Linked DNA regions of Drosophila melanogaster. The protein of the gene in region 1 interacts with the protein of each later gene in a biochemical or structural test. Each region holds a gene or a part of one and is shown on either strand. Other genes may lie near its edges.

Region 1 (6,655 bases):
TAATCCAAAGCCCGTGATGACTCGCAATTGGGAAGTGCACGTTGGCTTTAAGGTGCACGGCAAGGGAACTGAACTGTTCGGCGACGGATTTGCCATTTGGTACACAAAGGAGCGCATGCAAACCGGGCCGGTCTTTGGCAGCAAGGATCACTTCTCCGGACTGGCCATCATTCTGGACACCTATAGCAATCACAATGGTCCACACAACGTATGTCATTACGCAAGGCATTGAATGTAAATGTATTAACATTATATTTGTAGCACCAACATCCATATCTCAGCGCCATGGTGAACAATGGCAGCTGGAGCTACGACCACGATCGCGATGGAACGCACACTCAGCTGGCCGGCTGCGAAGTTCGTTTCCGCAATGTGGAGTACGAGACGCTGGTTAGCATTCGATACGAAAACGACATTCTGTCGGTTTCCACAGATCTGGAGAACCGCAACGAATGGAAGAACTGCTTTGTAGTGGCCAACGTTGAGCTACCCACGGGCTACCACTTCGGCATGTCTGCGACGACGGGTGATCTGTCCGACAATCACGATATTCACAGTTTCAAGTTCTATGACCTGGACTTGAACGTAAATGTAAGTTCACTTTTGTTTGCCAAACTTCGGAAGCGAAGTAAGCATTACTCAGCTGTCTGCTATTTGGCTAACGCGATAAGGAGTGCAAGGAACCCAAAAGCGGACTTAAGTTTCAATAACTGCGTATACGTATAAAGAAAAAAGAGTGAACTTGTTTTTAATTGCTGCAACTTGTAATAATTAAGCAGCTGGCTTTAAACACATTGTTTGATGCCTAATCATGTTTATCTTTATAAGCCGTGTGTTATAATATTTATATCATATTACTGAAAACCAGTTTTACTTTCTTGTTGCAATAACCATCTTTTTACTTTCTTTCTTGTTCGCAGCACGATGAGATTATCCGGCGCTCCAATATCATACCGAATGCCAAGACATTCGAGCCCCCGCGCGAGCACAAAGAAGATCCCAAGCCGGGAATGTCCAACGCCAAGATCTTCTTCATCCTTCTCTTCGTGGTTGTCGTGGCGGCTGCAGTGGCCATCTTCGCCATCTCCTACTTCAAGGATCGCAACGCGCGAAAACGTTTCTACTGAGCTCTCTAGCTAGTTCATCACAGTAGCATCATGTTAGGAGTTACCCGGACCTCAGTTGATCGCAACTTTTATTTATATTTATACCGCGACTGTATCCCATTTCTTATCACCCTTTTTAGTTTCCTTAATTGTTTAGTGAGAGGGTAAACATAATATTACACGTGTTGGAGAGTTAAATTTAAGTGCAAATTTTTAATCTGAACTATAGGAAAATTGAGACCGTGAGAATATTATTGCGTAGACAAGATTAAAAGCCACTAAACAAATGCATGCGCTTCTCAATTAACCAACCATCCGCTTCTAGTGCTGACGCCCAGCCAACATGGACTCAATCTGGCGCACCTGGTTACTGACAAATCGATCCCGGGCACTGATCTCCTGGCGCTGCCCCGGCGGCTCACCCTCCGACTCCAAGGCGTCGTTGGACTTATGCATGCCGCTCAGAATGCACTGCTCAAATAGCGACTTGGACCGTGCATCATCGTCGTCGTCGTCTAGCGAGTCATCTGAGCTGTAGTTCGGCTTATCGCCATGCTCCACCTGCTTCTTTGACTGCCCATTTTCCCTGCATAGAGTGCTGGTACTAGCGTTCGCCAGGCTGGAGCTGGTACTGGCACCGCTGGGCTGAGGTCGACAACTTCCCGCAGCAATGGCCTATAAAAAGAGGGAACAACTTTAATATTTCTGATTTTAGCGAGAATTTTCTGACTGCATTTTAAATTTAACTTTTGTGAAATATCAACATTCCGATTGCTAAATCTACAAAGACACTTATTTTTGAGTGAGTCTCTCACAAAATGTTTATATGGTGAAATATATCAAGTGTTTTGAATGAAGTATCCTTTTCTCACCTGACTTAGAAGATTACAGTCGTCATCCGAGTCCATGGACAATGAGCTCAGTGAGTCGCTTTTCTTCGGCGGTAAGCGTGGCTCCGCATCTCCTTGAACGGCACTACGTCTGGGAGGAAGTTTGGGTGCCTGAGCCTCTTCTGCAGTCCTCATTGGCAGCTTCAGAACAGGCCCAGCCTTAGCAGAGCCAACAGTGAGATGGGATAGTCCCGAGATGACCGAAAACGTGCAGGGACTGTCCTCGACATAGTACTTGCTCATTTCATCCGACACTGGCAGATAACTGGGCAATGCATTGCCACCGCAGCGCATCTTAGAGATTGCATCTTCTGCCGGCATCCGAGTGTCCATTCCGGTAACATCAGCTCGCGGAGCAGGCACTGGCTGCGCTTCATTCGCATTTAGATCATTCGGGATGGACAAAATGGACAGATCACTATTGCTTGGCGCTTTGGAAAGCACGGCAGTAGTGTCCTCTGTGCAATAGCTGCGAGGAGCATCCCCATTGCCGTTGATGTCATTTCCACGCTGTCCTCGAATAGCGTTTGCATTAGAGTCGTCCATCATGCTCAGATTACTTAGACTGGTGGCGCAGGAGAAGGCAGCAGGCGTGTGCTCCACGTGGAATCTGTTCAACTTGTCCTCAAACACAGTACTGGGCTTCTGTTCAGGTGTGTCCAAGTTATTTTGAGTGGACACTTTTCTGTCCCTTCTCGGAGATTGAGGCATACTCTGGGTGGGTGAATCGGGCAGCTCTGAGGGGGAAATAACACCACTCTGCATCCGGCTGTATTCACTGATCACGGATCCATTGTCCTCGCAGGCAACCGTTTCGTCGTCGCCAACCAATGAGTCCATAGAGCTGCGACGCGAAAACATTAATGGAGTTTCTAGTGCGGAATCGATGTTTTGAGGCGTATTTCCGTCAACGTGCACCGGGAGAACCGCAGTTTTCGTTGGAGTTTTTGGCGGCATACATTTCTCCGGTTTCTCTGTGAGGCTGTTGAGCGAGTCGAAGCGACTGAAGCTGCCGGGAGTCCCTTCTTCACAGTAGTTTATTGGTCGCTCTGCCGTTTCCGTCTCCGTTTCGGTGGCAATTTTCTGCTTAGCTGCTGAAACCGCCACCAGGCCAGGACTATTGCGCAGCTCCGTGGCCGAGGAGGACTTTGTCAGTTGCAACTCCTTACTTCTAATCTCATTGGTCTCCGACTTCAGCTCCGGCTGTGCCGTCTGAGCGGATCGTCTCTCCTTATATCTAGCACTGAAATCCGTTGGCTGATCCAAGTCGATCTCAAAGGTCTTACTGCTATTGGGTTTGTGCTCCATGTACTTCATGGAGTAGTCAATGGGCTGCTCTTCAGTGGGTGTCACAATTTCGAAGGGATTCTTCGCTCCCTCCGACTTGGTTGAGTATTTAGTGGAATCGGATTTGCCCGAGTAAATGGACTCTCGGCTCTCACATTTTCTGTTCAGAAAGCCAGTTGTGCTGACTGTTGAGGGTCGCACTTTCTTAAGCGATCCCGTGGGATTTGAGCTTAGGCGCAGTGAGCTGAATCTCCGTGGCAGCGTACCTCCATGGCCAGCTTCCTTGTCTAGTGGCAGTGACCCACCATCTCCATTGGGCATAAGCTCCTGAGTGGCCCTGAAATTAACTAGGTTTTTCAAAGCCGAGGCACTGCCCTCCGCAATCATGGAGTTCTTGGAGCTGATTAGGGCCCGCAAGAGCGGGATGGCATTGTGGTCAATGAGGTATTGCTGGTCCTCGGGACAGCGCGCCGAGAGATTCCACAGAGTTCCGCAGGAGTTGCTTACCACGGTTAGGCTCTCCGATTTCAACTGTTGCAACAGAATGGCAAGGCAATTGTACCGTCTTAGGATTTGTCGGTACGGCTCACACACCGCAATATGGCTCGATACATTTCGAAGAATGCCGCCTGCATTTTCGATGATCTTAAGAGTTTTACTCGGACCCTCGTAGCTAAGCATTCCGACCAAAAATGCCAGTGCTCCGTCTACTGCACAAAACTCCGCCTTGTTGGTGCTGCAGTGCGCTGAGAGATTCCAAAGGGCTGAAAGTATGGCCTTGAGAGTGTTCTCGTTCTTGTTTTGCATGGCTGCTCGAGCCAAGGAGGTCACAGTACCCAGCTCGTTAAAGATAGTCTTCATGTGTTTGTCCGCGCGCCACGAAAGATTGCGAAGCACACCAGCAAGAACCTGATGAGATCAACGGTAATTAAATTACGATCTTTTTTTCTTAATCTCCAAGATTAAACTCACCTGTAGCAGTTCATCCGGAGCCGTGTTCAATTGAGCAATGACCACTTCCATGAACTGTCGCTGACCGCACAGATACGATTTGTTATGGACGTTCTCGTCTCCGAAGGTGAGATTCGTGAGGGCCATGAGGCCGTAGCTCCTGAGGGCGTTGCACTGTTCCCTACCGGCAGCCGGTCCATGGACCGCATGATCAAGGTGGACCAAATTGGGAATCGCCTTGAGGGCTCCCAGTTCGCACATAGTCTGGCGGTGCTCCTCGTCGAAACTGGCTTTCATCAGGAGCTTCATAGCCGCCAGCGGATGACGATCTTCATCATCTGCGATAGCCTCACCGCCGCTCTGCAACTGGGTGTGCAGAAAGTTACAGTAGTCGAGGATCTGGTCCAGCAGGCGCAGCATCTTCACCTCCCGCTGGCGCTCCTTCTCCTCCGGATTATTGTGGACGATGTTGTGCAGCGCCTGGCTGGCGTACTTTTTCGCCGTGGAGAGGCCTTCGTCGTTGGCGTGCAGAATCTGCACCAGAAGCTGGATACAGTCCGAGCTGCGCAGGGCGGTGCATGTTTCCGGATTTCGAGACAGTTCCAGGAAGTTGCGCGTCAGCTCCAGGCGAGTAGCGTCGCTCTCGTTCAGCGTCATTACTTTGAATGTATCCTCACCTATTAGTGCATTCGGATACCAGGGATTCTGGGAATAAACCTTTGCAGCTTTGCTTCTGGATGAGTCCTGTTGCACGGTCGCTTCAACAGGTAGTTCCTTCTGATCTGAGATCCTCGATCTTTGTTTGAGATGGCCTGCGTTTAAGCCATTTTCCAAGCGCGCAGGCTCAGCGCTCCAGTGCTACCGATTAAGCTAATTTATAGCTAGTTCTGCCCAAGTTCAATGATCAGTCAAAGTTCTTTCGAATAAAGGGATTAATACAAAGTTAACTCTATTTATTAAGGAAGCTCTCAAAATGTTGTTTATTTATATATTTTAAATAAGCGTGCAATAATTTTATTACATTACATTATTACATTTTCCCACCGACAACTGTTGACAACTCTGCCCCGCTTTAAAACAAAATAAAAATCGATTTTAATCAATGCAATAGAGATCCAAGTATTGCATTTAAGAACTAAAAAGGGCATTTACACAACTAAAAATTAATCTTTCTGTGTTTTTATTTAACTACTTCCTTCAATGTTGTTTTTTATTTTATAGAAAATATTTTCACTACACAATAATAATATCGAATACTTATCTATAAATTTGTCCATCTCTAGCGAACCGTTACGTCACGTCAATCAGCTGTTGCTGGACGCAAAATTGTTTCTGCCGCAAAATAATGAACTTCTTGAAAAAGGTGTGTTAAATAACAACAAACAGGACAAATTATATATTAAAATAACCTAATCTATTGCAGCTGTTGCCCCAGGTGGCGACCGAGGTGCAGCAGCTCAGCCGGTCAGGATTCCACACCAGCTCCGTGTGCTGTCGCGTGCAATCCGGGCGATACCGCATAACCACAAAGCGAAACAGGCCTCTTACCTACGAGATGGCCAATCCGCCGCATTTTATTGGCCACCGCAAATCGTGGAACTCATGGAACACGTGTAAGTTGTGAGAAAATTTTATTAAGGAAGCATTTTGATGGCCACCTTCTATCTTAGCAACAATGAAGGATGCCCTGCGTCCGTCCCAGACCGCCATAGAGGATGTGTTCATCCGCAAGTTTGTCACCGGCACATGGCATGCCCTCGTCTGCTCCGAGGTCATTATCAAGCGACAGCACAACACCATTAGGATCGCGGCCCTTATTCGGCAGGCGATTACACCGCGAAAAATGTACTTCCTTATTGGTTACACGGAGGAGCTGCTCTCCTATTGGATGCAGTGTCCAGTGACCTTGGAACTGCAAACGGTGGGCGATAAAAAGGACGTGGTCTTCAAATACATTTAGTTCATTCTGCTATATACATGTCCAATATAAAAGTGTAGATTTACTTAGTGCGTGTACTCGACTTCGCTGCTGTTGTTTTGTAGTGATTTGATGGCCTTGTTTACGATAATAACACCGTCAAGATCCTTTACCTAAGGCAAATTTTGGATAAGTTATGGCTTAGCAAATGGTTTCCTTATTTACTTACCGTTTCTATAAGTCTTTTGACGTCTGCTAAAGATGTTTGCTTTAGTATCGAGGACCTTATGTCCTTAACTAGTTCTACAAACAGGAAAACAACAATCTTCCGGGACCCTCCACAGACTTTGTCCCATATCTTGACCAAATGAGTTGTACAGATTATTCCAGCAAAGCAGGTTATATACCAGTTATCCAGTAGCGTTGAGTTGCCATCAAACAGGCCCAGAAGCTCCAGGTGACTATAAGGAGTAATCGAAGAAAATTGGTCAAATAACCCGACT
Region 2 (4,848 bases), about 11 Mb from region 1:
ATTATCTCAAGAGTAAGTTATCAAGTTACCCAATATATATATATATATATAAAAGAAGAAAAAAATCAATCCATTTATAATCCTACAACAGGGCTGCTGATGATTCCGACAAGGAGGCGTCACAGGAACTGCTCCTGAGTCCCAATCCGCTGCCCATTTTCGGGCCCATAAGGAAAACAAGGAAAGCAAAATCGAGGAGTTCCAAGAAGAACAATAGTAAGGCCTCCTCCTCGTCCGCTGGCAGTACAAAGAGTTCGTCGTCGGGTACCAGATCATCTGAAGATCGTTTAACTGGAGGTGGAGCCCAGGAGAAGCCATCGGATCCGGTCTCCACATCCTCGAGCTATTCGCTAAGATCAGGATATGACGCTCCGCCCGTGGAGGCCAGTGCCCGTGCCGACTTCCTTGAATCGCAAGCGGCCAAAAGCATCGACGAAGATGTCCGGAAGATGCAGCTGGAGCTCAAGCAGAGCTACGAACTCTTCCAGGGCATTGGCGAGAAATTGGAGTCGGTTAGCTTCACGGGCTTGAAGGACCGCATACGGGACCTGCACCTAAACGAATCCAACAACGAGTTGGGCAAAGCGACGACTGCAGAGCTTCAGATGATGTTCGACCAGCGTTTCCTGCAAAATCGCCTGGACAAGCTATCCACGGACGCCACGCAGGGATTCCGTCGGCATCCCGGCGAATTCGGCGACATACCCGAGCTGAGCACCTTCTTCCAGGCATGCACTCAGTTGGAACGCGGACTGGATGCACTGCGTCAGCAGCGGCGGCGCAACAGCGAGCTGGAGAAGCGTCTGTGCTGGGCCACCGAAATCGCATACGATCGCATGGACGAGATTCGCAATGCGGTTGGCTCGGATCCGGAAAAGAACTTCTGAATTGGTGACCTGTAGTTACATTTTTGGTTCACCCTAAGGTTCATTACCCGCACACAAACACACACACAGGCAAACACGCACAGGTGCAATACATATGCGTTTATCCCACACCCATAGGCGATGCAATAATTGATTGTGTTATCTTCTGGGCCGCAGCTGGGTTGTTACTCACCCGAGTCCGTGTACCAGCTGCCTGCATGGGTTGCTCTTCTGGCCGACATTTTGTGCGAGATCCCTAATCGGTCTGTTTAGTTAGTAAGAGCTATTAACTGGCCGTTACTTGTAGAAAAAACGAGTTCTTTGTTATTGGTACAGCAGTGTGACCGTCGTCTTGTTTTTGAAATAAACACGTTCTCTGGATTCGCTGATCAGCGGTCACACTTCTTCAGGGCTGCATTAAGTACTTAAATATCGTTTTTTTTTTGGTATAATCATATATACCATTAATACTTTTTTATTATTCTAAATAATAAATCACACAAATAAAATACAATACATAAGGTAACGTAATTTTATTTAAGTGTTGTTTTTTATTAATTTCCATAAATGAAATCGCATAACATATACAACTGAAACTCACGGAAGTCGAAAGTCGGAATTCTGCAATACCAACATTTCAAACTATACCATAATTCTTGCAGTTTGCCTGCGCGCACCGAGGTATTTTCGAACGACCCGTGTGCGGTCACACTGTTCGCATAGCGTCATTGCTGTACTAAAACCTAAAAATCCGCCGTGTTCGTATTCCGCCATTTTGAAAGCTGCGAGTGGAATTTGGACGCGTTGCTGGTAAATTAATTGTGGGAAAACTGCCCAAAAAGTGCATAAAATTTGTGAAAAGTGGTCGGCAACGGTGCATGAGACCCGCCGCCAAGTGTTTGTCCCCGAAAATTGTGTGTGGCCGCGTTTTTGGCACGTGAATTTCTTGCCCAATTGTGAACTCGCAAAAAAAGAAAAAGAAAAGAGAGAAGAAAACCGACGCCGCCGTCGCCGCCGCCACAAAGGAATAGGCGAATAAGCGAGAGAAAAAAAGGCGAAAACGAGAGCTGAAAATCAAATTGTGCGCCGCTGATTGCGTTTCAGCTATTTAATAATACCACAATCGAAAATCCGCGGCAGCGGCGATTTTTCCACGGATTACTACACCATATATTTCCCATTTGCCTTTCCGTTTGCAACGAGTGTGCGCCTGTGCCTGTGTGCGTGCGTGTGTGTGAGTGTGCGATAAACGTGTACAAGAAAAATTTAAACGTGCAGAATTCTGATGAATTTTAAAGCGGAACTGCTATTGCCTGTATAGGTGATGCGGGTGTGCGTGTGTGGGTACGCACACACACATGACCAAGTATTGTTGCGGTTTAATGCAAAAGTCGAGTGAGTGCGTGTGTGAGTGAGTGAGAGAGAGAGAGAGAGAGCAATGCCTGCCATATTCTATGCAAAACATAAATAAAATTGTGCAATAATTTCCCCGCACACGCACACAGCCACAGATACATACACTCTCTTTGTAATTTATATTTTTTTCCGCCCGCCTAGTGACAATACACACGCAAGGTTCACTGCGCAACGTCCCCCTTTTCTCAAGCACCCCCCTTTTGCCCACGCCACTGCAACATGCTGTCTCATCGTTGTTGTTTTGCCGCCGCCACATTTGGTGCGACAGAGAGAGAAAGAGCGAGCTAGCGCGAGTGCAAGAGAAAGGGTGGGAGGGAGAGGCCAAAAGCAACGAGTTTGAAAACCAACTAAAGCCTCATGTTGACACATTTCAACCGGGAGTTTTCGTTCTTTCGCTCGGATTAAAAGCCTTTAAAGGGTGAAAGTGCTGCTTATCGTTTCTTCTTCGCGAACTAAAGCTTTAAAAGTATAAATAGCTTTTATTTCCTGCGCCCGCATATTGATTGCAAATTACAAGCGCACACACTTACTCAACAACCGTTGCGATTGTTTGTTTGTGTGTGTTTATGCCGATTTGAATACACAACCAAGTGAAAAAGTTTGATCAACTTACGAATGTCCATTCAAATTGATGCTTGTTTCTAGTTTTCTTACAATTTTTGCGCTTGTCGTGTTTTTGTCATAGCTTCTTCTATCTCTATCGCTCTCTCTCTTCTCTCTTGTTCGTTCGCCCTTTCACTGTTCGACGTGCCTGTACCCATCACACACATACAAACGTATACGTCATACACACACACACACGCACACATGAAGAGGCAGACAGACAAGCAACTCTGGGCTCCCCCCTCCCTAAACCTCTCCCCTCCCAGCCACATACTGCCGCACTTGCAACGGGAATGTTGTTGGTATTGCTCGCAGTGCTCAAAACTCCGAAGAGGATTACAAATGGTGTTTTTGTTTTTGCCCAAAAACGGAAATACAGACAAACTTCTGCCACATAAAGAGTTCAAATTATAGCGACTGTTAGTTGTTTAGTCATTTGTTGTATTCCCCGCAACTTTTTGCGCACTTTTGGGGTATCTAGACTGATTACAAACCCTTAAAAGCAGCAGGCACAATTGAAATTATTGATTGCCTTAAAGTTAAAGTTAATTGCGGTTATGAAATTTTTGGCTAATTGTTCGTCATTGGGCAAAAATGAAATGCTGAGGAATTTGCTTTATAAAAACACTTAAATTTATAGTTATTAGCCACTGAATTTGTATTGCAGTCGTTAAGAATTCTTCCTACCCAATGTAGTTTTCGCTATAGAATAAATAGAAATATGGAAATATGTGGCAGAGAGAGCCGCTTTTCCCGTTTCCACTTCAATATTTGCATTGCCATGGAATTTTCTATATATATAGTCCATCGATAACTGTACATGTTGCTGAATTTGTTGTTACTAGTTTTTTTGGCGCAACAACGTTTTCCGCTTCTTGTCACTGCCCTTTTTTGGCAAATAATAAATTTGATTGTGTATGGGCTGCCCACTCCCACTAGCTAACGGTTATTTATTGTCAATGCCAGGCGATGCCGCCCACTGCCACGCCTCGTACGACCCCCCCCCCCAATCCGTTTGATGCTCTGTGTTTTTGCGCAATGTTTGTTGTTGTGTGTTTGCCGCCGACTGCGCGCGTGAAAAAATGCACACCTGCCCAAAGAATTTCACACTTGGTGGTGCACGGGGCGCAAAACAAAGCGAAAGCAGCCACCAAAATAGCAGGCAAACGTTTAAATTTAAACACAAAAGTCCGAGGAACTAAAATTCGACCAGAAACACAATGGCAGCCATGTGTGCCTCATATTCTTGTATTTTTTTTCTGCGCTCTATCTCTATCGATCTGAAAGGCAAATACAACGCAATTCGGTTGATGGTACAGGCTCTAATACCCTTAAAGCTAAATTGTCCAAGTTATAAATTTGTTGAAAATGAATGATAGTTTACAAATTCGGATGTCTTTCATCTATTCAGCGGTGGAAAGATGTATTTTGGCCAGCTAATCGTTGCATGTTTGATGGCAAACCTTTCGCCATATCTGCTATACTCCTGCGCAAGCACTTTTCAAATGAAAACAGAAAACACACACTTTCAGATGGCTCAGCCAAATTCGTCCAAAACAACAGATGCAGCGATATGGCAACAATAATAAATAGAAATAGCCAAGCAGCCGCAAAACGCAGAATCAGCAATTCGTAAGCGTGCGAGGCAATAATATATACATATATATATATATATAAATTGTATTTCATTTGATTTTTTCCCACTTCTGGTCACTTGCCACTCGGCTATGCTGGCTTGCAGTTTTTCGATTTGCGTCATTCGCAGACCGCGCGCACCACCAATCAATATTATAAAAAAAAAAAACAACAACAACAACAACAAAAAACGAAACAAGACAACAAAAACCAAAAAACAAGTGGGAAATACGAGAAAAGGCGAGGGAAAACAATGGGAAAGCAACGCAGAATGGCACCTACATGCATACATACTACATACATAGACAAATGAAAACATTGGCCAATG

What was found.
Region 2: the proteins of Apc2 (region 1) and CtBP form a complex in vitro, tested with the Drosophila melanogaster proteins (one study listed by BioGRID).

What each region holds. Positions count from the first base shown.
Region 1 is NT_033777.3:24,162,410-24,169,064, reverse strand, and holds Apc2 (adenomatous polyposis coli 2), read right to left. Parts: upstream 5,100-6,655; 5' UTR 4,892-5,099; coding exon 4,256-4,891; intron 4,193-4,255; coding exon 1,979-4,192; intron 1,782-1,978; coding exon 1,428-1,781; 3' UTR 1,128-1,427; coding exon of another isoform or gene 921-1,127; 3' UTR 801-920; downstream 1-800. Other genes in the region: CG5510 (uncharacterized protein), read left to right, coding at 11-208, 262-591, 921-1,127; mRpS24 (mitochondrial ribosomal protein S24), read left to right, coding at 5,580-5,597, 5,658-5,847, 5,905-6,194; TBC1d7 (TBC1 domain family member 7), read right to left, coding at 6,239-6,325, 6,382-6,613.
Region 2 is NT_033777.3:13,010,073-13,014,920, forward strand, and holds the start of CtBP (C-terminal binding protein), read left to right. Parts: upstream 1-1,576; 5' UTR 1,577-1,676; exon of another isoform or gene 1,677-2,100; intron 2,101-4,848. Other genes in the region: CG8031 (uncharacterized protein), read right to left, coding at 1,060-1,108; CG11656 (uncharacterized protein), read left to right, coding at 1-12, 92-887. UniProt on the Drosophila melanogaster protein: Corepressor targeting diverse transcription regulators. Hairy-interacting protein required for embryonic segmentation and hairy-mediated transcriptional repression.